Linked DNA regions of Arabidopsis thaliana. The protein of the gene in region 1 interacts with the protein of each later gene in a pairwise test. Each region holds a gene or a part of one and is shown on either strand. Other genes may lie near its edges.

Evidence for each region.
Region 2: the proteins of AT2G45820 (region 1) and IMPA-2 interact in a two-hybrid assay, tested with the Arabidopsis thaliana proteins (one study listed by BioGRID).
Region 3: the proteins of AT2G45820 (region 1) and ARR3 interact in a two-hybrid assay, tested with the Arabidopsis thaliana proteins (one study listed by BioGRID).
Region 4: the proteins of AT2G45820 (region 1) and IMPA-1 interact in a two-hybrid assay, tested with the Arabidopsis thaliana proteins (one study listed by BioGRID).

What each region holds. Positions count from the first base shown.
Region 1 is NC_003071.7:18,861,439-18,868,041, forward strand, and holds AT2G45820 (Remorin family protein), read right to left. Parts: upstream 3,304-6,603; 5' UTR 3,139-3,303; coding exon 2,985-3,138; intron 2,295-2,984; coding exon 2,241-2,294; intron 2,146-2,240; coding exon 2,058-2,145; intron 1,986-2,057; coding exon 1,709-1,985; 3' UTR 1,515-1,708; downstream 1-1,514. Other genes in the region: AT2G45810 (DEA(D/H)-box RNA helicase family protein), read left to right, coding at 1-103, 197-377, 455-543, 643-716, 802-880; DTA2 (downstream target of AGL15 2), read left to right, coding at 4,886-5,065, 5,169-5,722, 5,814-6,006, 6,093-6,157, 6,238-6,448, 6,538-6,603. UniProt on the Arabidopsis thaliana protein: Exhibits a non sequence-specific DNA-binding activity.
Region 2 is NC_003075.7:9,132,582-9,140,766, forward strand, and holds IMPA-2 (importin alpha), read right to left. Parts: upstream 4,835-8,185; 5' UTR 4,554-4,834; coding exon 4,329-4,553; intron 4,241-4,328; coding exon 4,052-4,240; intron 3,967-4,051; coding exon 3,835-3,966; intron 3,720-3,834; coding exon 3,534-3,719; intron 3,452-3,533; coding exon 3,288-3,451; intron 3,201-3,287; coding exon 3,122-3,200; intron 2,765-3,121; coding exon 2,636-2,764; intron 2,481-2,635; coding exon 2,353-2,480; intron 2,245-2,352; coding exon 1,869-2,244; 3' UTR 1,867-1,868; exon of another isoform or gene 1,744-1,866; 3' UTR 1,169-1,743; downstream 1-1,168. Other genes in the region: AT4G16141 (GATA type zinc finger transcription factor family protein), read right to left, coding at 139-312.
Region 3 is NC_003070.9:22,063,607-22,069,651, forward strand, and holds ARR3 (response regulator 3), read right to left. Parts: upstream 3,628-6,045; 5' UTR 3,566-3,627; coding exon 3,115-3,565; intron 3,038-3,114; coding exon 2,961-3,037; intron 2,889-2,960; coding exon 2,811-2,888; intron 2,732-2,810; coding exon 2,661-2,731; intron 2,583-2,660; coding exon 2,288-2,582; 3' UTR 2,011-2,287; downstream 1-2,010. Other genes in the region: AT1G59950 (NAD(P)-linked oxidoreductase superfamily protein), read right to left, coding at 4,427-4,654, 5,060-5,239, 5,357-5,600. UniProt on the Arabidopsis thaliana protein: Functions as a response regulator involved in His-to-Asp phosphorelay signal transduction system. Phosphorylation of the Asp residue in the receiver domain activates the ability of the protein to promote the transcription of target genes.
Region 4 is NC_003074.8:2,117,787-2,126,246, reverse strand, and holds IMPA-1 (importin alpha), read right to left. Parts: upstream 5,904-8,460; 5' UTR 5,689-5,903; coding exon 5,479-5,688; intron 5,313-5,478; coding exon 5,216-5,312; intron 5,118-5,215; coding exon 5,026-5,117; intron 4,948-5,025; coding exon 4,816-4,947; intron 4,709-4,815; coding exon 4,523-4,708; intron 4,443-4,522; coding exon 4,279-4,442; intron 4,192-4,278; coding exon 4,113-4,191; intron 3,536-4,112; coding exon 3,407-3,535; intron 3,306-3,406; coding exon 3,178-3,305; intron 3,074-3,177; coding exon 2,692-3,073; 3' UTR 2,690-2,691; exon of another isoform or gene 2,680-2,689; intron 2,600-2,679; 3' UTR 2,081-2,599; downstream 1-2,080. Other genes in the region: TRX z (Thioredoxin z), read right to left, coding at 402-518, 615-695, 1,303-1,425, 1,741-1,971; AT3G06710 (E3 ubiquitin ligase), read right to left, coding at 6,634-6,930, 7,040-7,480; AT3G06700 (Ribosomal L29e protein family), read left to right, coding at 8,447-8,460. UniProt on the Arabidopsis thaliana protein: Binds to conventional NLS motifs with high affinity in the absence of an importin beta subunit. Mediates nuclear protein import across the nuclear envelope in vitro in the absence of exogenously added importin beta subunit.

The DNA.
Region 1 (6,603 bases):
TATCAATCTCATGGATCAGCTCACACTTATGGGTGTTACCCAATATTATGCTTTTGTTGAAGAGAGACAGAAGGTGCACTGCCTTAACACGCTATTCTCTAAGGTCAGAGTTTTGTTACAGTCTTAAAACCCCAATGTTTTATTTTCTGGCTACTTGATGTATCTTTTAAAGGAAATATTGTTTTATCTATTGCAGCTCCAAATAAACCAATCCATTATCTTTTGCAACTCTGTTAATCGTGTTGAGCTGTTGGCCAAGAAAATTACAGAACTTGGTTACTCATGCTTCTATATCCATGCAAAGATGGTTCAAGACCATCGGAACAGGGTTTTCCATGATTTCCGCAATGGTGCATGCAGAAATCTTGTTTGCACTGGTACGTTTTGTGTATTTCATGTGCTTGAACATTGACAAATGTGTTTATGTTTCACGGGGAATGTCTGTCTGTTGCAGATTTGTTTACACGTGGGATTGACATTCAAGCTGTGAATGTGGTGATAAATTTCGATTTTCCTAGGACTTCTGAGTCGTATCTACATAGGGTATGTTAAGGGAAGCCGATTTTGGTTTATCTTCTTGAGAACCTGCTCTGTTTTATTTGTTCAAATTGTGAATGGGTTTTTGCTTCATTATATTACCAGGTAGGCAGATCAGGACGATTTGGACACCTTGGGTTGGCTGTGAATTTGGTAACTTATGAGGACCGCTTCAAAATGTTCGTGTTTCTTTTTCTCAACTGGTGTGGCCTCTCTTTTCATAGATGCTATAGCTTTCTTACTCAATTATTTGGTTTCCAACAGGTATCAGACAGAGCAAGAACTTGGAACTGAAATCAAGCCCATACCTTCACTTATCGACAAGGCAATCTACTGTCAGTAACTTCTACCTGGTGTACATTCTCTACCCGGCAAGGCATTGATGGACTAACCGGTGAGACAAATCCCTCTCTAGGCATCTTGACATTAGAACTAACCTGCATTGCTCATAGACCAAATTTCCATTGATTTTGGTTTGCGGTTATTTAGGTGTAGTGAGGAGGCAAATCATTCAGCTTTGGCAGCCACTAGCTCGTTCTAGAGATGAAGGCAACACATAGAGTACTGTACTGAGGCAAGAAGAGACAGTATAGGTGGTTGATGGCGATGGAAGCGGTTGATTGTGTCTAAACCTTTAAAGCAGTACCGGCTTGATTTGGTTTGAATTGAAGACTTCTTCTGCTGCATGATATGAACCTTAAAGTTGTCTTCTCTCATCTCTAATTTTCATGTTCTTAGAAACCTTTTCACCTTTTCATTTTGATGTTCTCTCATCTTGAAGACTTGAGAGGAATTTCCGAGTAGTGAGATCAAACCGAAGAAGACATTTTAACTTCATTCGCTTGTTTATTGCTTTTAGATCTCCACCTGTGCCTGAACTGTTTAAGGATTATAGTTGGTGTGTGTCAAGTCAAGTGTCTTAGCATTTTAAGAGTTACAGATCAGATGTGAAGTCGTACAACTGAAACAAAAGGCAAAACAAGATTTGATGCTTCATACAATTATACTCCATTAATCTTTCACTTTTACACACAATCACCCAATATGTAAACAAGACACAAACGACCAAACAAATAACAAAAACTAAAAAGAGTTGTTGAATCACACAAAAACAAAAGAAGAAGAAAGAAACAGAGATGAATTGTTACAAAGATACAAATTCAATAAAGGCTTAGAAACATCCACACGTTGCCTTTGGTACTACACCAGTGGCTCTATACTTAGCACCCATTTCTTCAGCTTTGAGAAGCTCTTCTCCTTTTTTAGCTTCAACCATTGCTCTCTTCTCTTCTGCTAACTTGTGGATTGCAGCTACTTTGTTCTTCATTTTCTCACCGTACTGCGCTTTTTTCTTCTCTAATTTTTCCTCGATCTTCCTAAGTTGAGCTTCTACGGCTGCTTTCTTGCTATTTTCCCAAGCATGCACATCAGAGATCTTCTTTTGTGCCCTGTCCATTTCAAGATCATCAGAGATCTGTAAGCAATAGTAATCTTTGGGTGAGAAGATGATGAAAGTTTACCTGTTCTCAGCCTTTGACTTCTCACTCTCTTCCCATGCTTTGATGAATGACGTTTTCTTCTCTTTTTCCAAGTCGGCAAGTATCACATCTGACCAAACACACACAACACACATTTGAAGTAAATTACTGAACTAAGTAACTAAGAAACTGGACATGAGAAACAAAGTGTTGTTATCAGCTGACCTCTATCGGCCGAACCAGATGAAGCTTTCTTAGGTGTATGCTCCTCGATGGGTTCTGCAAGAAGCACACTTATAAGTATAACACATGGATATTTGTTGCAAGAAGCTCACTTTTAACTAAGTTAAATTTTGTTGCTCTAATTGGCTAATAAGGTCATCAAAATAGTAGTTTATAAAACGAAACTCCACACAGAAGGAATTACAGATAGTAAATAAAGATGAACAAATGAATGTTCAAGGATTATAAAAACTGCTGGAAAGTTAGTACTTAATTGTTATTTTCCAAGAGTTAAGCAACTTTAAAGGAAGGAAAAAATGTAGGAATATTAAGAAAGTAACCCACTTTCCTTAATTCATAGCTGTCCACAACTAATTTGTCATGATTCCATACACTTTTTGATAACACTAATTACAGGGAACATTGCTTTACTATTAATCATATTTTAATAATATCATCCTCGAAAAACATAATTCTCTTGAAAATGCCATGATGAAGTTGTAAATTCTAACAGCGATGGATTTCACCTAAACAAATAGAGTATAGACCAAGTCATATGCAAAAGAACTCACAAAAACCTTAGGCATCTTAAGAAAATCCATTTGTTAATTGTAAATTGAAACCTTAGTTCCAAACGTAAGAATTCTGAATTACATACTATAATAATTCATCGTAAACATGAATGAATCCTCCTAAGTAGAAGATTAACATATATAAAACACACACGTATGTAAATAGAAAGCTTACTTTCTACAACGGCAAGAGCTTTGGACTCGACGGGAGGTGGATTATGAATTTTCTCATCCGCGACTTCCACCGGAGCAGGAGTCGGTTCCTTCGCCGGAGCTAAAACAGCCGGAGATTCTACGTCAACCTTACTCGTCTTTTGCTCCTCCGCCATTGTCTCTCAGCCGAAGAAGAAGAACAGATTTTATGTTTTTTCCGTGAAAATGGATAAAATTGAGATTTTAGGACAATAATGAGTTAAAGAGTTTTTATATCCTCCGTTAGCTTATACCGGTGGAGCGTACTACGCGCGTTTAATAAGTGTGAGACTCTTGTTTTGCTTCGCCGTTGATTTTTGTACCCATGTGATCGTGCGGCTGTAAAGCTCTCATACGCATTGGATGCGTTACACGTGATTAAACACACCTCACTGCCGACAAGTAAAGTGGTTCAATGATGCCACGTCACCTCTGTAGAAAATTTGTCCTCCCCTTCTTTTTTCCTGATATTCAACAAAACTTAATTCTTCCAATTATACCGAACTAAAATTTTGTTTACCATATAAATTGGTTTAAAATTGAAAATCAGATTTTAGCTGGGATTTTTTTATTATGAGAAAAACAACAATCAAACTACAATCAAGAAAATAAATGATCTATATTATTGCTAATCTTGGCTTAACTAAAAAGTTCGTATTAAAAAACTGAATCTAAATTTGGAGTGAGCTCGTATGCCTATAGAATTGACAGAGTGTCGGGTGTGTATTAAATCTATAATAAAATATCAATCACTCGAATTCATTTAAACAATTATTTTAGTTTTAAAATTTAAGTGGATCAAAGGGTGACGTGGAGCCTCACTGACTCGACACGCTGGAAGACAGATACAAAAAGGATAATGTCTGTGTCTCGCGCGTGTACAAAACTTTCCGGTTATGTGGCGCGTGGTATATGCAATTTAAACTGGTTTAAGCATGTGGTATATGGACTATGAGATGGAGACATCTCTTTTTGTAGGTGTTGGGCTTTTGTGAATCCTAATGGCCCAACGGGTTTTTAAATTTCCTGCCCAACTTGTTTTAATTTAAAGAAAGGTGTAATTTTTTTTCTAACAAAGCAATAAAGTAAATTAATTAAGGCTAATCACTAATCACAGACTCACAGTTTCGAACAGCCTGTGAAAGATGTATTAATGTATTTGTATAATAATAAAAAGTACTCTACAACATGGAATTATTTACGATTAATTATCTGTCTTGTATGATGATGAGTGGTCGAATATGGACTATGATGTCACTGACCTTTATTTAATGGGTTAAGGTTTATCTTCTTTCTTCTTTCTTCGAAGTTCGGATTCTTTTATTCAGTTTAAAGCACTTATAACAAACTTTCCCAAAGAGGACTTTAATTAATTGAACTCTTGCAGTTTTATTTTTGTAGTAAGCAGATTATTTTTCTAAGAACATCAAAGGTCTTGTATTTAGTTATTTACCAATAAATACAACGTTAATAAGAGACGATTATTTGGGAAACATTTGTGTATCACATATCAATGTCCATATGTGATTTGAGCATAGGAATACCAAATATGGATGACCAAATGTCTCCTACTAATTAATAAAATATTATCTATTTAATATTTAAAAACATTTTAACTCTTCGAAAAACTAAAAAGTAAACAAGATTCACACAAAAATATGAACGTCATTAACACAAAAGATGTGAACTCTGGTTAGTGTTGAAGATAACGTGAAACAAGATTCAAATCCTCGTGGAAGAGCACCAATCGATCACCAGAATCAAACCTTTGAGCTTCCTCCTAGCTTCGGTAACGTTTAATCTCACCTGATTCTCGTTTTTCTTCTCTTCCTGTTGAATGTTTGTGAACATAGATATATATAAAGCTGAGATAGATATAGATTCATGCTTCAACGGAAAAGCATGAAGAGGAACAACAACAATCTTCTAACGAACAAGAATAAGTATGTCTATCTTAAAACGGCGTCGCATCCAGCAAAAAGCATCGCTAAAGCTACTCTGTTCCTCGTCACCTCTCTCTTCATATCTGCTGGTCTCTTAGACTTATTGGGTTGTTTCGATTTCGTGAGTTCGAATCTGAAGTAACTTCTTTTTTAGAAACTTTTTATTCAATCAAGTGAATCTTGAACTTGAAGAGTTAATAAATTCATATCTCTCTGTACTTCAGACAACTTTTACAGGTCTGAAGCAGGTAACAACTAGTATCAGAAAATCACCAATCACAAGCCAAAGATTCCCTAACCAATGCGGCGTCGTTCAGAACCAAACTCAATTATTTCCCCAAAATGGCTCCTCGAGAAACAACGACAAACCCAGAAGCAGCCATTCAAGAATATCCACGTGTCCTTCTTACTTCCGTTGGATCCACGAAGATCTACGGCCATGGAAAGAGACAGGTGTAACGAGAGGGATGCTTGAGAAAGCCAGGAGGACGGCGCATTTCAGAGTAGTAATCCTCGACGGGAGAGTGTACGTTAAGAAATATAGAAAGTCAATCCAAACAAGAGACGTTTTTACTCTGTGGGGCATCGTACAGTTACTACGGTGGTACCCAGGTAGGTTACCGGATCTTGAGCTCATGTTTGACCCAGATGATAGACCAACCGTCCGATCTAAAGACTTTCAAGGTCAACAACACCCGGCCCCGCCTCCTTTGTTCCGTTATTGCTCTGATGACGCCAGCTTGGATATTGTCTTCCCTGATTGGTCCTTCTGGGGCTGGTAAGGGCTTAACACACATGTTAATTCTATTCTGTTCTCTATTTAATGGGCTTGTTATTGGACCTAGCTAATTATATTATTATTGGGCTAGGGCTGAGGTTAATATAAAGCCTTGGGATAAATCGCTAGTGGCGATAGAAGAAGGGAATAAGATGACTCAATGGAAAGACCGCGTGGCGTATGCTTATTGGAGAGGAAACCCTAATGTGGCTCCAACTAGAAGAGATCTTCTCAGATGTAATGTCTCAGCTCAAGAAGATTGGAACACACGTCTCTACATTCAGGTTAGGATTTCTCAAAATATGTATAATTTTTATATATTGCAATTTTTAAATAATCTAAATGATCAAAAATGTTTATTATTGTGAAGGATTGGGATAGAGAGTCAAGAGAAGGATTCAAGAACTCTAACCTAGAGAACCAATGCACCCACAGGTTTAACTTAAGCCACACTTTTTGTACTTAGGAAATATTTGCAAAGATTCGATTTTAAATGTGTGATAATGATGGAATAGGTACAAGATTTATATAGAAGGATGGGCATGGTCAGTGAGTGAGAAATATATAATGGCATGTGATTCAATGACATTGTACGTGAGACCTATGTTCTATGATTTTTACGTACGAGGAATGATGCCATTACAACATTACTGGCCAATCAGAGACACCTCTAAGTGTACTTCCCTCAAATTCGCCGTACATTGGGGGAATACTCATTTGGACCAGGTTTGTATTTTTTTTTTTACATTAAGACCCAAAAAGTTTTGTTTTGTAACAAATTAACACATTGAGTGTGGTTTTTTTTTTTTATATAGGCGAGTAAGATAGGAGAAGAAGGGAGTAGGTTTATTAGAGAGGAAGTGAAAATGGAATATGTGTAT
Region 2 (8,185 bases), on another chromosome or scaffold:
CAGAGCTAAGCACACAAGATCAACCTACATTTTAAGTGGATTCAAGTACCTATTTGACTAGATCTAACACATGAGACCTTAAAGCTTGGATTTTTAAGGGTTTAAAAGAAAATGGTAGAGAGAGATCATGATCCTTACTTTAGGGCCAGCAGGTCCACCACGCCAAAGAGGAGTCCTGCTTGTTCCGCAATCAACGCATGTCTTCTTCGTATCACCTCCACTTCCACTGCTACTACAGTTCCCGTTGTCTACATCGGACGAATCTCCCGCCGATTCGAGCTTCGTCGTCTTGGTTTCTTCCGTCATTGACATCTACAAAAGAAAAAGACAATTATTAAACGTGATCATCAACTACAAGTAAGAGAAGGATCAAAAACGATCATGGAAACTCACATTGATCCACTTCGAAGCGAGATAGGATTGAGAAGAATAGAAAACTCTGAAACAGAAGAAAGGAGAGTAACGGAAATGGCAGAGAAGGATCAAAGAGCTCTTCTTCTGCTTGAATGGCTCTCTGTGAAGTTTAGAGTGAAGATGATGATGATAAGGAAGAGAGAGAGACGCCGCAGAAGAATAACGGATAAAACAAACGGAGAGGGTTTTTATAATAAAGGAGGAGGCGGGGACTAATAAACCCTAGATTTCTCTTTCTTAATTACTTTTTTACCCTCGAGCGCGGTGTTTTATTACTATAGAACCACCCGCCAAAAAATAAAACAACCACAAACTGAAAAAAGAAGAGGGAAAATCATTTTACAACAACAACTTGTAACAAAGATCTTGTGGAAGGGGGTTTTTTGGTATCTTGCTTGCTTTGGTACCAAATTTGAAATTTTAATTCAAAACCTGGCGCACGAAATACATTGGATTTACTCGTTGTGGTTGTTTGCCACGTTAGATTTCCCTAATTGGGCTTAGAGATATGCATGCATTTTTTACCAGTCTTTTAGATATTTTGTGTAATTCTTCACAATGAAATACGAAAAATTTATGTAATAATATTAGGTATATCGAAGACATGCTCGTGTAGTGCAACTTTTTTTGTATGAAAATTACAAAACATCTCTCTTTTTGGTCAATTTCATCTTATTTAAATTTGTGTAATCGACTTATGAATATTTGAGTTCTTTTGGGTCCAAGGCATACCTACGCTTATAAACGACAGGGATTGAACAAAACATAGGATTTTTTTATTATTGAAACCCTCCCTACTTGAAGTTGACGATAACCATTAATAACATCGATTAATGGAAATATGTTGAAACTAGATACGCGTGCATATGTAGACAATAGCCCAAAATGACTTGGACCGCACTAAAATAGATTATAAAAAAAAACATTTACTATAAACAATAAAGAGACGAACCAATTGGGCTTTTATGTCACCAATAAGACCAAATAAAGTTTGACCAACTTTTTTATGTTTGACTTTGCAGTGTTGTGTAGTACAAATGTAACAAAAACCCAGAGAGACACATTCTCATCAGATCACACTTTAAAAACTTATAAACCCTTTCCCAAAAATAAATATCCCTTGATGACTCCTACCCAACTCCCCCCCAACAAGCTTATTCCATGACTCAAACCCACCAACCACTGGATCTGACCGGACCAGGCCAGACTAAGTAAGGCACCCCATCTGACTTTTACACAGAAGACCAGACTCTCTAATCATACCCTTTTTAACCAGTGCCCCCAAACTCTTTAAGCTCCTTCGACTCTTCAAATCGTCATGTTCAGCTCCTGTGGAAGCAAAACCAGACTCACAGATTCACACAAGGTAGACACACAGGCAGATTTACTCTGTTTGCTAGTCTAGCCTTAGATGCTTAGATAAATTAGTCCCAAGTAGTGAGGTTTTTTTACCTTCACTGGAAGTTGAATCCACCTGGTGGTACGGCTGCATCATTACCTCCTCCAAACTGGAAGCCTTGTGCAGAGGGATCACCAGGTGGTAAAGTTTCATCTTCCTCTTCCAACCAGTACGTTTCAAGAATCTTCACTGCCTTCTCATAGATTTCGCTGTTGTCATGACTCTGCAGATTCTCAATCTTTTCTAATCCCTCAGCATCATCGATCAGCTGTGCATAAAAGTTTACATCCCCGGTATTTCCTGTGACCTTTTCAGCTTCCCCAACTTTCAAAATGTTCTCCAATCCTTCCAGACACACAGTGATAATCCTTGGATCAGGGCACACCAAAAGATCACACAGTGGTTTCACGACTCCCTGTTCCACCATGTACCTAAAACACACAACGGAATAACTTAATTGACTGTTTGAAAAATAACCAACAAAGATTCTAAAGGAGTTGAGATCAACAGAACATGGAGTTTATATCGGATAATCTTACTTGATTTGGTCAGGAGAACCACCTGAAGTGGCATTTGATATTGCCCACGCAGCTTCTTTCTTTATATCAAACTCCGCATTTTGAAGCAGATTGACAAGAGGGCAAATCAAACCAGCTTCACACACAGCCTGCAATACCACAACAATATTAGAGAACATAAACACACAGAACATCTTTCTTCAAACAACAAAAAGGCTTCTGAAACATGTCTTCCAACATTAGTGATTAGTTTATGAGAAACTGATAAGCTGAGCAGAAACAACAATCTTTAGCAAAAGTTCACCTGAATCTGGTCCCTGTTTCCAGCAGTGATATTTGAGATTGTCCAGCAAGCTTCCTTTTTGATGCTCTTCTTATGATTGTGAGTCAGAAGGCTCAAAAGGCTAAGAAGTGCACCATGACTAATTACACACTGTAGAACCAACCAAAAAAGAAAGCAAAATAAGTGAGGAATGGTACATGTGTGAGATTCTTAAGAGTATTATACATACTGCCTTAAATTAGTCTAACTATTCAAAAGGAATGTTAGGTATTGCATAACTAGGGTAAAAAACATGCAGGGGGGGAAATAAAATCTGGGAAGAATTGACAGTTCCCATTCTAGAGATTCATCTAGGAAGAATTTGACAAGTAACTTTTGACAACTAAATGTCATTATCAACAAACTCAGATTCAGCTTTCTAGCCAGTGTATTTCATTCTTCCCATCAGTATTGGACCATGTATCCTGAATAATATGAATGAATGACACTATAAAAGAACAAACATACCTGTGTCTGCAGATCATCTCCAGTGACAATGTTACCAATACTACGAAGGGCAGGAATAAGCACAGATGGTGATTGATGCCTACAGCAAAATAAAATTGATAATATTCATTAACACATAACATTCATTATACAAAAGCACGGTGAAATCATGGGATTTGAAACTCACTGGAGAAGCTCGACGAGTCGAGGAACAACACCTGCCTCAATGACAGATTGGATTTTGTCATTTGTGCCATCGGAAAGGTAAGAGAGAGCCCAACATGCATCCGTTAACACTTCCTCATCAGTCGAATGAATCAGGCGTTCAAGGGCTGGGAGTGCTGGACGGACCTGTTATTAAGAGATCACAAGAATTAAAAAGAAAAACTCCTTCATCTTTGGGCAGAGATTAAGATAGGAATGAGAGACAAACCTGGTCAAAGGGAGGCTGTGGCTTGCCCCTGCAGAAATTAGAGAGGGTCCAAGTAGCATTTCTCAGCATCGAGAGTTTAGCATGCTCATTCAACTGAGAGAGTAATGGTATCAAAGCTCCTTGACCAAGGACAAGATCTCTGCACCGTGGAGAATCACCAGCAACATTCCCTAATGCCCACACAGCCTTACACATGAAAAGATTAAGAAACAAACAAGCTTTAGAACATGCTTGTTCCCGAAAACAAACAAAATTGACAGTATATTGAGTCATGAGAAAAAACCATAAACACATATCTTACCTGCTCACGGACATCATCACTCTGAGAAGCCAATAGTTGAACAAAAATCGGAACAGCACCATGTTCAATGACCACCTTTGTATTCTCTGAAGTCCCAGAAGCAATGTTTGTCAATGCCCAAGCAGCCTCAAACTGAAATCACACACACACACACAAGTAATTAGTATCAGAAGACAATTCTAGCAAAATATGACAGATACATAACGATCCACCAAACCTGAAGCTGTGGATAATCCTCTCTAGTGAGAAATTCCACAAACCGAGGCACAACACCAGCATCAATCACTTCTTCAATCGGAGGACTACGCTCAATAGAAAGCAATTTCCGGAACTGAGTAGTCGCTTCAAGCTGTAAACTTCTATCATCTGACCAAACACCACCAACCATAGCAGGCAAACTCTCCAACTAGCCAAAACCAAAACCAAAATCAAAATCGAATCGATCTAAACCAATCAAATCCTAGGAAACGGTTCCAGATCGCTAGTAATATTACCTTCTTCTCAACAGTTGATGAAGCAGGAACAGGAGAAGGAGCGAATTGAGGTAGCTGATTAGCTTGAAGGCCTTCACGACGCTTCTTCTGTAAGCTTTCTTCACGCTTACTCTTACGGATCTCGACCATGTTGTCCTCTCTCCTCCGTCTTCCTTCCTCAGCATCCACCGCCACTTTGTAGCGGTTCCGGCGAACCTCAGTCTTAGCGTTAGGTCTCAAAGACATGGTGGCTAATACGAATCTCCTCTTGCTTCGTGGCGGTGAATGAAAAATGAGCCAACGAGAGTGGAGACGATGTATGTATATATATGAAAAGTGTATGTATAGAATCGGCGGATTGGTAGAGGATGATAAACCCTAAATGAAGTAGAGGGGAACGAGAAAAGAGGAAAAAAGGCACAGAGAGAAAGATTGAATTTCGTTGGTTTACAAAAACATTTTGGTAAATCTAAATTTTAAGATTCGATACAGAGACCATTAATTTACTTAAGTTGACTTGTTTATTCATTAGTCTTTTCGCACCGACTAAATTTAATTTAAAATAAAATACAGTTTTTTTTTTGGCAAAACTTGGTTTTGTGAAAGTAATTTTAAAAGTATATTATATTCGTTTAAGAAAGTTTAGAGTAGAGAACTTCGCATTTGAGTTTGACGTTGAGGAAGACGTATGAGCAATGCTCATATATTGGGGTAGATTCGTCTGTTGGAGCCATAACGATTGCAAGTACCTCTGGTAGCATTATCTAGGAGGTGAAAATCTGTTATTCTCTCTCCGTTCTTATCTGATGAAAGCTAATAACAGATTTTCACCTCAACTTTCATGGTATCAGGTCTTTCCCACAGACTATAATGAATTTTAATTTAAATGAAAAAATCGTCAGAAAAAAATACTTATGTTTTTTTAATCAAACATCTGGCTTTGTGAAATGGTGCATACGAATTTAAAAGTGTACTCGTTATAAATAAACACAATCATCATTACTTAAGACGGCTCAGCCAAGTTTGGAACTTTAAAGAGAAGGTTTTTTTAAGAAGTATACACATATATGTACGGCTGAGACATCTGATCTCTGAGGTCTTTTTAATGTCTCTTTAAAGTTAAGACTCCAGGAAAAATAATAACATGGTGATGGAGGTTGGCTTTTAGCGGAGATCGAGGACTTCATATTTGAGTTTGGCATTGAGGAAGACGTGTGAGCAATGCTCGTAGATTGGGTTACCGTCTTCTGATTCTTCGTGTGGGTGGAAGCCTCGTTGCTGGCAGTTTCGGATCACAGATACGCCTGATGGATCAGAGAGATGGAATATTCCATGAGGTGTTGATTCGTCTGTTGGTGCCATTACGATTGCCACCGCCTCCGGTAGCATTATCTGGGACAATAGATATAGATGATGGTTTTACTATAATCGCATCATAAGTGATTAACATAGAGATATTGATAAGGGGAGTTTGTTACCTGATACGAGTAGTGTGTGTGTAGATCAACTGATGACATGAAGCAAGTTTGTGTAGGGTGTGTCTGAAACCAAAATGTAAATTAGCAAGACGAATCGATAAAGCTTATCAACTAGTGGATATATGGATTCACAATTGTTCTGAGTAACGTTTTGGTAAGTCATTATCTGGAAATGGAAGATTTTTTAGTTCGGGTGAGAGAACTTACATGAATCCAACCCAAGGGAAATAGAGAGAGTCTGTCCTGTACTCGAATATTTCTTCTCGTTTAGTGTTTGGCACTGTACATTACCCAAATGATGATGAACCTAAGTGTGAGAAGCATACCAGCGAGAATTAAAAAGATTGTTATTGATGTAAATGGTTAAGAAAAATGAAGAACATACAGAATCTGAGGTAGACTCCTGCTTTGGGATTATGAGAGTAGTGATATGAAAAACCCTGTTTTTCTGTAAACATGGCAAATAGACAGAATATAAGTAATGGCGAGCTGATCATGATATTGGAATCAAAAATTATAAATGCAAAGGTTCCATCTACTCACCAGAGAACCAGCAAGTACTCCACAAGTTTCTAAATTCCGTTCTGTGTTTGACCGAGCTAGCCTTAGGAAATCATCCATTATGCGCACAGGCTTCAGCAAATTTAAATAAAGGGTGACAACATTAGTAGTAGATTAAGAAGAGGTGAAAGAGAAAGATTTCCAGAACCGATTCTAGCAAGCTTTTAAGAAGCTGTAATGGTCATGAATCCAATACTTCGATGATTTAATGTGTTGATTCTTGAACACATACCAAATAATTAGACTAATCATGGATAATTTTCTACTTGATATGCATATCCCTTCCACTTTACTCTCACAAACACTATGGAATTGGTGGAAACTGCACAAAAGTGAAAGAAGATACAGCTGGAACATACCACATGCAAATGCTGATAAGAATTGCTGCCCTCTTTTCCTTCTAGGGAAGGAATTGCAGGTCCTGGTCTAGGATCAGCTACTTTAGATGGGCAAATTTGGGCTAACTCTTGATGCACTTGAGCAAGCACGGGAGGAGGGGAAGGTTGCTTCATACCGACAAACTGAAACGGGTCTTCAGTTGCGTCGCTAATAAACTGGGAATTTACTGCCTCAGAATGACGCTGCCATCGACCATCATCTAAGGAGAGCACAGAGTTCAGTGTTGAGACTTCTTGAGAATCACCATTAAGTGATGCTGAGGAACTGCTAGGTCCAGCTTCAATTAAACTGCAGAAATACATGGAGTCAGTTTGAAATAGCCATGACTTCTTTAAGGAAAAGCTTAGAAGGTAACAGAAGATGAGTACTTACCCTGAATTGTCCGCAGAACCCCAATCTGTATTACTCGGATATTGAACCTATCATTCCATACAAAATAAAGATTTTTCTCAGTTCCTTCAGATCTAAGATAATTAAACATTGAATTGGACCAAGAGTAAAAGAAAGAGTGAGAAAATGTGAGAAAGGTAACAATGATCAGCACTATACCTTTATCTCTGACTTGGGTGCAACCATTTGCCTTTTAAGACCATTCGGACCTAGAAATGAATGTCTTGACAAGGTTGCTTGGTTTGGAGGCAGGAAATCAAAAGATCTGCAGGTTCAGGAGCACAATTAAAGTCTCAATGATCATCCCAGATTAATATGGAGTAGCACTTGAGTCTCATAGACTCATTTCTTGTTTCAATATCCCAAAACCAAAGAAGAATTCCACAAAACGCAACCAATAAACATGATACCATAAATAGAAAATCCAAGCAGCATTGGCAGTTTAGTCCATCAGAATGGTAGTTTTTCTGGTAATAACTAATAAGTGACCCAAACATCGTATATATATGGTGATCACAGAAACAGGTAGATGTAAAGCAAGAAAACCAGTGACACATATCGGATGGCATACCCCTATTTCTCAGGGTTCCTAAAGCTCAGAGAGCTTATAGTGTTTGAATTCCTATTAAGCAGAATTACCGACAATTATATTAAGGGAGAATACTCACAGCTTCTGGAACTGCTGATCAATCTGTGTACGATTTGATGATGAAGTCAGATTATTGTTATACGTCCAGGATGGTTGAGATGTCGGTAAGGGCTGCATCCAGAGAAGACAAAAAAAATGGAAAAGGCATTGCTGGTAAGAAATCACATGGATTTTGAAGATGCAATGATTATATAGAAATCCTAGATTATGTACTCAATGCAAACTCCAAGTCTTACCTTGTTAATATCAGGTCTGGAGTATGAAGCTTTGTGAGCAGGAGGCCACTCAACAGCATCTGAACTATATGATACGACCGGGAGATCACTTCCATCCTGACGGGATTCATCCTCAACTCTGTTCAGCTTATCCACTAGCTGGTTGAATTCCGGTTTCAGAGACTC
Region 3 (6,045 bases), on another chromosome or scaffold:
CTCTACGAGTGATCTTGTCATGAATATAAAATGTACATTTAAGTGCTTTGAAGAAAAGTTTTCATTAAGTAAAACAAAAACTTAACATGTTCGTTACTTAAGCCTATAAAAGTTTTACAAATAAACTAGATTTTAACCTAGAATGATTCCTTCAATTTCTTGTACTCATCAGGCTCTAGTGCATTCTTGACTACCTTCAAAACAGTTTTCTCAAAAGAAAACTTCGATAGTCTTGTAATATATCTATCTCTGCGCCTAGTGTGTCCAGTCTTGAAGGGAGGTATAGTTTCTTTGTAACATGACTAAACATGCCTTTTTTTTTTTTTTTTTGTACGCTCAAACAAATCATGTACGCTGTCATGTTATATGTATTAAGTAGTAAATAAACTTTTACAAAAAAATAAAATAACAATAATCTAAAAATACTCAAACTAAACAAAACAAAAGTTGAATGTAAATACTCTCTTTGTTTCTAAGTAATGGATTTTTGAGAATTTTCATACATATTAAAAGTTGATTATAAATATATCATTTTGTGATTTACATTTTAATATAATTCTAAACCAAATATATTCAATTATTTTTCTTGAAATTTACAATACATCAATAATAACTAGTTGCATAAAAAACCTAAAAACTTCATATATGTTTAATCAGTTTTTTTTTATGTAGAGAAACTACTATTTAAAAACAGAGGGAATAGAGGCAAGTGGAATGTACCGCATTTTCTGCTTTTTTAGTCAAAACTCAAAACCAAAATATAAAAATTCGAATGCTTATAAAAGTTGGGAAATTTTGTTTTGGAAACATAAGTTACGACATTCTAAAGAATAAAGAGAAACTTTGCCTAAATCTCATTTAAAGTACTTTTACAAGTTACTAAGAAAAATGTCATTCACTGTTTTTTGTTTTGCATGTTCTGTATAGAACCCCAATTAAAAAATTGTAGAAGAATAATTGGCCGTACCTTAAGGGGACAAAAACAGAAATCAAAATGAGAAGAAGATAAAAGTAGAATAATCACATGTTTAGTACGCCAAACGTGGGGAGTATCTTTGAGCTGATTCTGTTGTCTACAATGATTATTTGATTTTGATTCATTGCATTTGCCTATCAATTTTCTTTAATATCCAGTGCCTCCTTCTAAGTTCCAATGGGTAATGTAAGGGTCTTGCTAATATAATAATGCCGTACGTTATTATATTATTCGATTTGATCCTTCATTCTGAAGAAAGTTCAAAATATTATATGCATCCTCTTTTTAAATAGATATTGTGGTCGTGGTGTGAATCAAAGATATGAGTTTGTGAGTGATTAGGAGCTAAAATGTATACTTAATGTTTTTAGTAGACCTCCTAAGATTAGATATGAATCCATAATCCCCATGATTACATGTATTTGGACAACATTTTATTTCTTCTAATTTGTAGCCATGCATGACCACATAACCTTGAGTTAGATATGATTCATATGAATCATAATTAATCCCCATAATACCATGGTTATTCAACCGTTTTCATTTCTAATTCGTAGCCATGCATGCGTGACCACATGGTCATGGTTTAGCGACATGTGATTGTGAAATATGTGGTCGTAGTCACCAACTTAGCCACTACCTATTCAATGATTAAAATTAAAAAGACCACCAACATGTTCAACATAAGTTGTTAGTTATTATAGGTGTAAATATTACAAGCCGAGTTTCAATAGTATGTGTAGTTTGCAAATGATTTTATTACTATTTTGTGTAGTCTTCTCTAATAGACAGTTATCACACAAAAATTAGTGGTAGCTAGAGTAAGTAGTTGAAAATATTCATAGAAGCCATGCGGAATATTTGAGAGTACATTTTCAAAAATATATCATAATAATACAAGATTTGGTTCTTAATATCAAAGACTATAGATTAAAGAAAAGTATCCTCAAGTCGGTACATTATTGGATATCATACTATCAAATAAATGCTAATCGCTGGCAAAATCTCAAAAGTGATTAGCAGACGATATGAATACACAGAGGTAAACTGTCACACATTATTTGATTATTATGATATTATTAGAAATAGAAACATTATTTAATTTTAAAATTATCAAATATACGTAATTAAATAAATACAATACTTGTTTTTATAAAAGTTCCTTCGTGAGCAAAGAGACCCCACGTGCAACGATATAAAAAGAGAGAGAGAGATCTATAAGTATAAACTGACGGCGTTCAAGTCAACGTTGCAGTCAATAAAACCGTCAAAAGTAAAAAGTTAACGGAGATCGTTATCACACGGATCTCTCTAAGCTAATCCGGGACTCCTCATCGGCGAATCCACAAGCGAAGTTGCAGACTCCGGCGACATTGTCAACGAATCTTCATCGTCAACCATAGACAGAGGCGATTCCACCGTAGAGTCCGAAGATTCCATCGAGGATGTGGCTGAGAGCGGAGGCGGCGGCGGTGGAGTGGTCAGCTTCCGTTTGTTTCCTTCGGCGGCGACTTTAACGTCTCTCGTCAAGTAACTCCTCAGACGTTTCACGTCGGCGAGTTTCACCGGTTTTAGTAAAAAATCCTCCGCACCTTCTTCAAGACATCTACAACAGATTTATTGATTAAATTTCCGATCACCAAAATCGGAATCAAAAAAAAAAGATTCCGGCGAGAGATTTGACCTGTCGATACGAGTCATTACATTCTCCGACGACATAATTACAACAGGAACTTCCTTAAAACTTGTCGATTCCTGTTTTTTAAGAAAATCAAGAATTGAAAAAAAAAAAAAGTAACAGAATTTGTTTTTATGGCGGGAAAATTTCAGAAACCTTAATCTTTTTCAGAAGCTCGTATCCAGTCATTCCAGGCATACAGTAATCAGTGATGATCAAATCCACCTTCAATCTCTGGTAAAAATAAAGATCAAGATCAGAATCTAGAATCTCAAAATGTTTTAAAACAGAGTTATGAGAGATTACATCGAATTCGACGGCGGCTTTGTCGTCGTCTAATCCTAAGAATTCGAGAGCACGCCATCCGCTATCAACCGCCGTGACTGCATTGAATCATCGCCGGAGAATAAGGCTTTTAAAATGTTAAAGGGGAAAGAGGAAGAATTACTAGTTAAGAAACCTTTGCAGGATGTGATTCGAAGCAATCTTTCGATGACTATTCGATCAACTAGGCTGTCATCAACGGCGAGAACGTGGACTTGATCAGAATCTAGCGGCGGAGATTCAAGTTCTCCGATTCCTATACCGATCATCTCCGACCTTCGTAGACAAGAAACGCCACCGTCTTTGGCCATAGTGAGAAAAGAGTAGGAAATGAAAAGATAGAAGAGAGATATTGCTACTAGTTCCTCTCTACTTTGTTTTATATTTTCGTTGTTATACTCTTCTATATCAAATCTTTTTATAGGTGGATCATTTTCTACTTCATTTCTTTTACAAAATATTTTCTTATTCCAAGTGACGATTAATGACACAAAACGGTACGTACCTTTTTTTCTTTTTTGGGATGGGGGCAGCAAGAAATAGCGAACTAATCTGAATAGGTAAAGAAAGATAAATTCGAAGTTCATGATAAGATATAGATAGAAAGTACCGGTTTTGCTTCTTCTTACTTTTAGGATTGGTACTAAATAGATATACTTGGATTACCAACCAAACCCATAACAAGGGTTGTTTGGTATGTATGTTACTGATTTAATGTTCAAATTCGTCTTTTTGTTTCTCACATGTACTATGCTTTTGTTGTTGTTGTTGTTGTTGTTAAAAACACATTTACTATGTTCAGAAAATGATTTTTATTTTCTTCTCTCTATTTTGATGGACCCTTGAGCTTAATTTGAAGAAAAATCTAATGCATAGCTATGTCTTGTCTCCACTTATAAATACAAACTCTTAGACCATCATAAAATATGATGACCAAAACCATAACAAGTAAATAAAAAGGTTTATAGACAAAGTGAAAGAAACATAAAATCCAAAATCAAGCTTTCGTTTTCTATCAGAAATCCCGTTCAGAAAGACTTTATCGCAATGATGAACAGAGGTTTTTCACAAGATATTGTACATATCATTATGTGATTAATTTAGATGTTTAAAGATTTTGGGGTCCATGTAACATGCTTTGAAAGAAGCTTAAATATTAAAAAAAAAAAAAAAAAGATAAAAGAAAAGGAGAAACATTTCAAACTCAAAATTGCTCTTAAAAGACTTGCATATTCACAAAAGAAAAAAATAAGAAGAAACATTTCTCAAGGTTATAAATTAGAAATGCAACTTTACAAACTAAATAATCAAGACATTTATTTTACAACTACAACATTTATGAAGGTTATACATTGGAAATGCAACTTAACAAAACAAATTAATGCAACTTTACAAACTAAATAATCAAGACATTATATTACAACTGCCCCATAATTCACACATAGTGATCAGATCTCACCGTCCCACATCTCGGTGACAGATTTTATAGGACCTTTCTCCGAGATGTAAACCTCTCCGTCAACGATCCTGCTCTGAGAAATCTCCGTCGAGATTCTCTGTTTCTCCTCCTCTGTCAAAGACCAATCAAATATCTTCAGATTCTCTTCCAATCTGTCTTTCCTAAAGCTCTTCACCACCATGCTCACTCCTTCCTCGTAAGCCCATCTCATACTCACCTAGTCAATTGTCTATTACAACTCTAAAAATGAGCTTTAAATACTTTCATTCCCCAAAACTTCTCCACATCACTCTATTACCCGTTTAAAGAGTGAGTTTTTTTTTTTTTTTTTTTTGGGTCAACGAGAGTGAGTGCACAATATAAAAATGTATCAAACAAATAAATAAGTCAATAGTCCAAAATTAAATATCGCATAAAGATAGTTTTAGCCATTATCACAATAAAAATAAAACTAATTTTCAAATGAATATAACAATGACTTTTGTTTACCGATTTGTTAAAATATTTTCTGTAATTAACAAAATTTTCCTTTAAATTACGACTGTTTTTTTTAATATTTATACGTTAAAAGAAATTTAAAAATGTTTTCGTAAATAATTTTAAAACTGTCTTTGGAGAGTACCTGAGCTACTGTTTTTCCCTTTGCCTCAGCAATTTCTTTGAGAACATCAGACTCCATGATTTTGTGAGTTCCCCAAAACGCTCCTCTCGATCCCAACACCGAATAAGCTGTCACAACAATGCCTTTCGACTTACATAACTCCCTCAGTTTTCTCTGTTGCCATACTGGACTCATCTCCACCTTTTTCACATTATCCACAAACAAATGTTTCAAATTATTTCACCAATCCAATATTTTCTTATAAAAAAAAGGTTGAACTTATTTGATAAATTAAATAAGAGAGAATTTTAAATATACTTGATTGACACTAGGTGGGATTTTTGCTATTGAAAGGATGTGTTGGAGTTTCTTGCATGAGAAGTTGCTTACTCCTATACACTTTGCAACTCCGAGTCTCTGACACTCTTCCATCTCAGACCAAACTGTTTCATAATCCATTGGCAAAAAGTCATCTTCTTCTATAGGGAACTTGTATTTACCAGGTTTCGAGCTAACCGGCCAGTGGATTAGGTAGAGATCGAGATAGTCCAATTTAAGAGTTCTACAAAACATGATATGAAAATGATGATTAAGATCATGCAACCCCGAAATACGCTTTTTGTACTTGGCTTGCAGTCCATAGAAGGCTATCAACAGGAGATCGCATGGTTAAATGGTCGGGAGACGTTACAACGGACTGCATTCTCTGTCAAGGTAACCTCGAAACCCGGGAACACCTTTTCTTTGATTGTGGATACACTTCAGCAGTTTGGGCAGCGCTTGTAAAGGGAATTCTCAAATCGAGATATACTTCCAACTGGACCTCGATAATGGACCACCTCGCTCATGCTCAGCCACACCGCGTGGACCACTTCCTCGTTCGCTATGCCTTCCAAGCGACTCTATACACTGTGTGGAGGGAAAGAAATGGTAGACGACACGGTGAGACCCTCAACACGGCCTCTCAACTAGTTGGATGGATAGACAAGCAAATCCGAAATCAGCTG
Region 4 (8,460 bases), on another chromosome or scaffold:
ATTTGGGCGCCATTTCGAATGGCGTCGTGTTTTTCCTAATAATGGTGTTTAATAATACTTTCGTCCCGGTTTAATGTCAACCAAGAAATGGGGAAAAAGTCTTTAATGACGTCATATCTCTCTCTTCCAAGTTTAAGCTACAGTGTTATTACATGGACCGGATCGTGAATTTGATGTGCCACATAACTTGGATCCGACCAGATCAACAGCTCTAACCTTTTCACTTAGGTATTGAAACGAACACTGCATACAAACAAATGTCTTAAGACTACATTCTTCATCTATGAAACTAGAAGACATTCTTACCACATCTCAAATGCAAACAACACGGTACCAATCCTAAATTACGGCGATTCTAATCAAATCATAAAGAGTACAAAAGTGTTTTCTCAGTAAAAACTTCACATCTCGTTGTCAATGATATCGTGCATCATCTGTAACGGAATTAGCCCTTCTGTCCTGATTGCATCTTTGCTTGGGTCAGGACTGATGAAGAATAATGTAGGTAACCCTCGAACCTGTATCACAAGAGTTGGTTAATGTAAGAATTTACATTGATATGCTGAGAGGAGATTCATGAAATTTAAAAACATAAGCTGCAAGTTACAGTATACCTGCATGTCGCGTGCAAACTCGTACTCATCATCTGTATCAACTTTCACGATTATTGCATTGCTCTCATACTCTACTGCAAGCTGTTTCACAATGAGCAAAAACTATTTAACACGAGTGTCATGAGTGAAAAAGCAAGTAGATAAAGCCAATCAATAAGAAGATGCTTAGATTCTCCTATCTCACACATTTCTTTTGAATTTGTAGACATGCCAACTACGCGACAAGGTATCTTTGTCATAAAGTATGGGAGAAACAGTCGTAAGATTGGAACTGTTTAACTCCTTTATCTAATTCACCAAAAGAACTAAACCATAGAAGAGACTTGATTAATGAGAGCGGTCTTTCAACTCTAGTCAATTGCCAAACCAAGACCCAAGACAAATCCAGAGTGCCCCCAATACATTTTCATAGCCCCTCTTTAAACATTAAGATCTCAGTAAACTGTAAAGATTTGTTGATGAGCTACCAAAGCTATAATGCACTGCCCAACTCCTATGCAAGTTACAATAGTACTGCACTAGACTTAACAGTAATATACCATCACATTTCAAGATTCAAGTATATTATAACGAACAACCGGGTTCCAAGAGCCAACGTTTGGAAATATATAAGCATTCTAGAGTCTACACATGAAGCAAGTGAAATGGAGAATGTGTAAGAAAGTTGAGTTATGAGAATCCATGGTACCATTTCTAGTTCCTGGGCCATCAAGATACAAGGTCCACACCATGTCGCATAAAAATCAACAATCAACGGCACCTTCCTATCTCCTTTCACCAGTTCCTGAAGTTCTTGAGCTGACAATTTCTTCTGTCAAACCATAAGAAAAGGAACAAAAAACATCCAGAAATCAGTGAGGCTTCCACATGATGGTATCAACAAGAGTCATTCATAAGATTCAAATTAAGCAAATCTCTATTCTGAAGTATTTAACAGTGTACTGGTCGAATCTTTGATAGAACTACCATATATCGTTCTTATATAATAACTACATCTATGCCCAGCCAACTTAATTTCCCAGAAAGGCGAAAAAGGAAGTCGTAAAACGAAAACAAACATGAAATTTTTTGAAATCGACAAAATATGTTGTTTGGAGCGTGAGAGAAAGCGAGAAATTGTCCGTACCACAAGATAATCTTCTCTGACAAACTTGCCGCGAGGCGGAGGACAGAGAAGCTTTCGCGGACGCGTCAACGGCGAGAAGGGCAAGTTTCCGGCGGTGGAGGAGGAGAACGGCGCGGCTACCGGTCGGATTTCCCTCCGGATAAAGAGAGAAGACGGAGCATGGAGGGAGGATAGAATCGGCGATAACGGAGTGTTGAGGTGTGGAAAAGTTCTGGATTGAACAAGAGCCATTTTGGAAATCGATTTCTGCTTCAAAATGATTTCAGTTTTAGCTTTTGAGGGGTTTTAGACGATAAGGCAATTGAACTGGACATATACTAATAGTTCATTAGTTCTTGTCTTTTTACAATTTACTTGCTCAGGTAAAGTCAAATTCATAATAATTTATTGCTGTTTTATGTATACTTTACTTCATAATTCAAATAAAGATTCGAGTCTTTATAACTCGAAGATAAACCCTTCCTTAGGTTTGACCAAAAAAAAAAAAACCTTTCCTTAGGAAATCAGACACCAAACATATTAAGACCAATAAAGGGTTTATGGTTTCAATTTTTTAACCGACATACAAACTGTTGTCAACACAAAAACAAAAGACTCCACTGTAAGTTTTTATAACCCTCCAAAATTTAAAAACAACACAAAGGTCGACTCACGACCGGTGTACCAGTCATTTCAAAAAAATAGCCCTGGACAATGAACCAAACACTTTCTCAGACGCTGTACTTTTAAACCGACCACCCGGTACAAACCTCTGAGACCAGACCAGACCAGACCTGGAGTATAACCATGGCAGTGAAACTAGACTCTGACTGACTCTGACCTTTCACCATTCTCAAGTTGCAAGCTTCCAATTCCATTCCTGTGGGTTTATATTGATCTAAATATCAGATTTTGCATGTTTTCATCAAGAGACGTTGTTAGAAATTTAAGAATTTTTACTTTTATTTACCTTCAGCTGAAGTTGAATCCTCCGGATGGTACTGGAGCTTGATTCCCTCCAAACTGGAACCCAGCCTGAGAACCATCAACACCTGGAGGTTGCTGTGTCTCATCATCTTCCTCTTCAAGCCAGTATGTCTCCAGAATTTTAACAGCCTTCTCATAGATCTCATTGTTGTCATGGCTCTGAAGGTTCTCGATCTTTTCTAGCCCTTCTGCATCATCAATCAGCTGAGCGTAATAGTTCATGTCTCCTGTGTGACCCAAGTTCTTCTCTGCCTCTCCCACCTTCAAAATGTTTTCCAATCCTTCAAGGCAGACAGTTATGATTCTTGGATCTGGGCAAACCAGGAGATCGCATAATGGTTTTATGCACCCTTGCTCCACCAGGTATCTGTATAACCAACGGGAACAGAACATCAATATATATATACACAAAGTATATATATGAGAGAAGAAACTGGAAGTTAGAGGAACGCAAAAAAGACAGTGACATACTTTATTTGATCATGAGAACCACCTGAAGTTGCATTTGAAATTGCCCATGCAGCTTCCTTCTTAATGTCAAATTCAGCATTTTGAAGCAGACTCACCAACGGGGAAATCAAATTAGCCTCAACTACCGTCTGCAACCATCAGGGGAAAAACAACACAATTAATGAATAGGTATAGAAGTCTGGATGGGAAACGGTACAAAACATATGATGAAACAGTACTAATTGCCTACCTGGATCTGATCTTTGTTGCCTGCTGTGATGTTTGAAATCGTCCAGCAAGCTTCCTTCTTTATGCTTTTCTTATGGTTTTGAGTGAGCAGGTTGGCAAGACAAGGTAGAGCACCACTATTGATCACGCACTGGAGAAGAAGTAAAATCAGATTTCCAAGTAAAACGATGTAAACTATTTCAGATATAGAAAAATCACCTTTGCTAAACTCATGAAAAACCAAATTTCACCAAGCAAAAAATTTGTGCATGTTGTTGGTTTAAACTTTAAAACAAGAATTAATTGTAACAAAACTCAAACACAAGCAATATATAGCAAAAAAGGCACTGCATCCTATCTGCTAATATGGACAGAGTGGCAACAGAGGGAGAATCTCATGATAAGCATTCAATACTCCCATTTTTCACATAAAATGTTGGATATGAATAATAGCAACAGGGTGCCATACATTTGAACAACACCTCATCGCAATTACCAGTCTTGGATTAGATGATATGCATGGTATATCACTAACTTCGACATGTTTTTGCTATCGGTTCAATTAATGAAAAGTTCTAGTGGTATCTTCAGACCTATTCCTAAAGGCCAAAGAATTGCATAACCACAAAGATATTCTTTGGCATAGTAGGAAAAATATATACTATCATATACAATGTGCAAAACCGAAATACTGTGAGAAATTCAATAGACAGGATTTAGATCCATACCTGTGTTTGTATATCATCTCCAGTAACTATATTTCCAACAGTGCGAAGAGCAGGAATTAGCACAGATGGAGAATGATGGCTAAAAATCAAGAGCAAGGTATCAAGTTATTTGTCAACAAATGTGTGAAGTGGACATGAAATAAGGGAATTATAAAATGGTACTGACAGGAGAAGTTCAACAAGTTTTGGGACAACACCGGCCTGGATGACAGTCTGGATTTTGTCATTGGTCCCATCAGAGAGGTAAGAAAGAGCCCAACAGGCATCTGTCAAGACTTCTTCATCATCTGAATGAATTAGTCGTTCAAGGGCGGGAAGAGCAGGTTTGACCTGTTAAACATGCTTCATATGTTAGAAGAATACTAGACATAAACATTGACGAAACAAGCTTGGAGGGGAAAAAAATAGACCTGGTCAAAGTGAGGCTGAGGCTTGCCACGACAGAAGTTTGACAAGGTCCAAGTGGCATTTCGAAGCATGGACAATTTAGCATGCTCATTAAGCTGATTGAGCAGCGGAAGCAGTGCCCCACATCCAAGAACAAGATCACGGCACCGTGGTGAATCACCAGCAACGTTACCCAAAGCCCATACAGCCTGCAGGTTAGAGCGAAATCTTAAGATCAGGGTTTCACAAAATTTTCAATTGCATAATCTCTCATAATAAATGAGAAGACATTCTGTAGTCATCAGAAGTTCCATACCTGTTCACGAACATCATCGCTAGGGGAAGCAAGAAGCTGAACAAAGATTGGAACAGCATTGTGATCGATTACAACCTTAGTGTGATCCGATGTTCCAGATGCAATGTTTGTTAGAGCCCAAGCTGCCTCAAACTAAAATAAAAATCATAAAAGATGAGAAGAGAAGATTACAGTGAAGAATGAATCAATAAGAGACATTAATTATCTCACCTGAATGGCGGGGTAATCTTCTTTCTTAAGAAACTCAACAAACCTAGGAACAACACCAGCACTTATCACTTCCTCGATTGGAGGACTTCTCTCTATGCAATTATAATAGAGACAGAGAGACAAAAGTTAAAGGGGACACTCCAAATTATATCAAAACGGGAAATAAAAGAGAATTAAGAAAAGGAATTACCAATAGAGAGAAGCTTCCTGAACTGAGTAGTGGACTCAAGCTGCAAGGCAGGGTCATCGGACCAAACCCCAGCGACCATATCCTTCAGACTATCCAACTACAAATGTTTTTTTAAAGCCAATCAATCACAAGACAACTACCGTAACCAGAACCCAAAAACGAAACCCTAAAACCTCAGTAAGCCGACATGAAAATCACAAACAAAAACCTAGAAAACCGACAACAAGGAGTACAATCGAATCATCTAAAAACCAGAATTGTACCTTCTTATCGACGGAGGCGGCGGAAGCTGAAGGGAAACCCTGAAGAGCTTGCATACCTTCACGTCTCTTCTTCATCAAACTCTCCTCACGCTTGCTTTTACGGATCTCAACCATGTTGTCTTCTCTCCTCCGTCGTCCTTCCTCCGCATCCACTGCAACTTTGTATCGGTTCCGGCGAACCTCCGTCTTAGCGTTGGGTCTCAGTGACATGGCTCTTGCTCGACAAAGAAAATCCGATGAAAAGATATAAACCCGATCAATGAATGCACACAAGCACACGCAAAGACTGGTCTGTGTATTATATAGATCCTGCCGAGAGCAAATAAATTATAATTATAAAAAAAACCTAAAAATTGATTTGGGAGTGGAAAAGTGATAAAGAAAGAGTTAAGAAGCAGAGGCAGCGAGGGACAAGTTGACAACAGCGCATCCAAAGAATGAAAGCACTTTTTTATTTATTTTTAATCTTTGTTCTTAATTTATACTGTAATTGCTAAAATATTCACTTATTTACAGTTTTGCCACTATTTATTTATGCAAACAGGTGTCCACAATTAGGTTATTTACATAATTAGCCCCTTACTATTGTGTTCTTTGAGGCAAGCTAATGTATTCTTCTTTATATCTCAACAATTTGAAGATCCTTTTGTTTTCATGACTTACAAGTGGACTGCGATTATCTTAATATTAACGTATATAGACCTTGGTTACTATATAACTTTTTGAGTTTTGAATCTACGTTTGTGTTTATACATTTTTTCCTTTCCAATGAAAAGTCGTTGTTTGTCATATATGGATTAGTTATTTCTCTCTAGCGAGATATCCTCAGTCAGATTGTCCACTCTTTAACCGACTACATACCGATCATCGAAGACCAACCTATGAAAGTAACTGACGAGATCATAAGTTTGCTTGGCCATGAACCAGACCGCAATCAAGGCTAACAACGCCGGCCAGATAAACGGCTCAATAGCTGGGTTGGCGCTACGGGAAAATCCAAGCAGAGGTAACAAAGACTTCAAGAGCAAGTAAGGGATGCAGAGTGTGGCTAGAAGTGTGGTTATGATCGAACCAATCACATCTTGAAGCAGCCACATTGAAGGAAGCTTATTGATTCCCACGTTTCTGATTCTCTTGAACTTTCCCCGCCATGCCTTAGTCGCGAAACAGTTGACAGGAAACGAGATTTTTGCTCAGGAGGCAGGACAGTTTCTTTGTTATGAAGTGATATCCCAAGGAAAACCACCTGACTATGGCTGGAAACGAGATTTGACGCAGAGTGAGGAAAATTCCTAAGTAGGCAAAGGGAATTGACAGCGTCATCATGTATCCAAGAATGACAGGTGAGTTTTCGAATAAACCGCCACCTCCTACAATTGCTATTGCAATCCAGCGAAAAGAAAACGGCAGAAGAATAAAGAAGAAAGACACACATATGCTGATGGTAAGAGCCTGTAGATAAGATAACAAACAGAACCTGTTATTCAAAACATGCTCCATATGGTAATTAAGTTACATAGGGTGGACGAAGGAAGAGAACTAGAAGGGACATTAGACTTACATCAAAAGATTTGTTATCCAGAAAGAAAAGCAGCCGTCCAATGGCTCCAAGTTCGTGAACAGCAACACCAACTAGCCTAGGAGGTTCCCCGAAGAAGCTTTGCAATAGAGAATAATACCACTCACAAACGATCTTGTTATATTTCCATAAAACAAGCACAAACCCATCTCCTAAGACATTCTTAATCAAGATGTCAGCCTGAAACCCAGCAGGATGTCTCGCGATAATGGGCTCGTGTATGGGTATCCTCATGAAAAACACAAGATGACCGTTGTATAACAGGCCATTTAAGAAACATGCGGACTTGGTAGACATTCCATAATCTCTCTTGAACCCAACAACAACTTCTTGGCCCAAAGGATGTAAAGAAAGGCAGTATGTGTTCAAGATAAACGCCATAGCCCAAGGAACAACCATTCTCACGTAAGGTGATGCTCTCATTAACACAAACACGTATTAGAAACTCGTGAACTGGAAGTCTCTCTGGAGCGTCCTACAATGAAAACAGAGAGCATTTCATCAAACATTTGGTGTGCGAGATTCTTCTTAAACCCATATTACAAGAAACAGAGAAGAAATCGAAAATCCCAACACCATGACACAAATATAATCCCCAAAAACATCACTCATAACAAAATACTAGTAAATAACTTTGATATTCTTTCTAAAATCGCAGAAATTGAAGTTTAATCGAAAACGAAATTGTCACATAACGCTATAGAACAAGAACCTCATTCTTTAGAGAAAAAGAGGTTTGTATAATAACCTCGCACTGCTTGTATCCGCGGAGATTGAGCCAGATATGAAGACAGTCTTGATGAACATTGATGGAGCCTCGACACGCGCACCGGATACCATAAGGGGTTTCCTGGTTCCTCCGGTGATCGGCAAATCCTGCACAAGTCTTCTTCTTCTTTATCATCATCGTGTTTGTCTGTGTCTTCTACCAGAGTAGCTTGATCGTCCATTTTTCTGATGAAACAGAAAGGTTTCTTCTCTATCTCTCGTCTTCTTCACTTCCTTGAGTCAAAGAAATTCCAAATTTTGAAAAAAATGGTTTGCTGCTTTATTTATACCCCAATTTGTAAAAGGCCACGACTCTGGGTTCATTCAATGGGCTTATATGATTTAGCAACGAGATAGATTAATTAGAGGCCCATATATGATTTATTAGGGCACGTTGGTCATTTAAAGTCCACTATAAATTCAATCAGAAATTAGGGTTTTGTGTTGCAGACGCCGTATTTGTATCGCGGAAAGTAAACCTAGCCGAGCAGATCTACCTCTCTCTCTCAGTACTCAGGTTAGCTTTTCTTATATCTACGGCCGATCTCTGGCTTCATTTCCCCCTGTTGTTTCGTTCGTTATTCAATTGAATAGTTTGTATTGTGGTCTTGTGTCTCAGAGATGGCCAAGTCGAA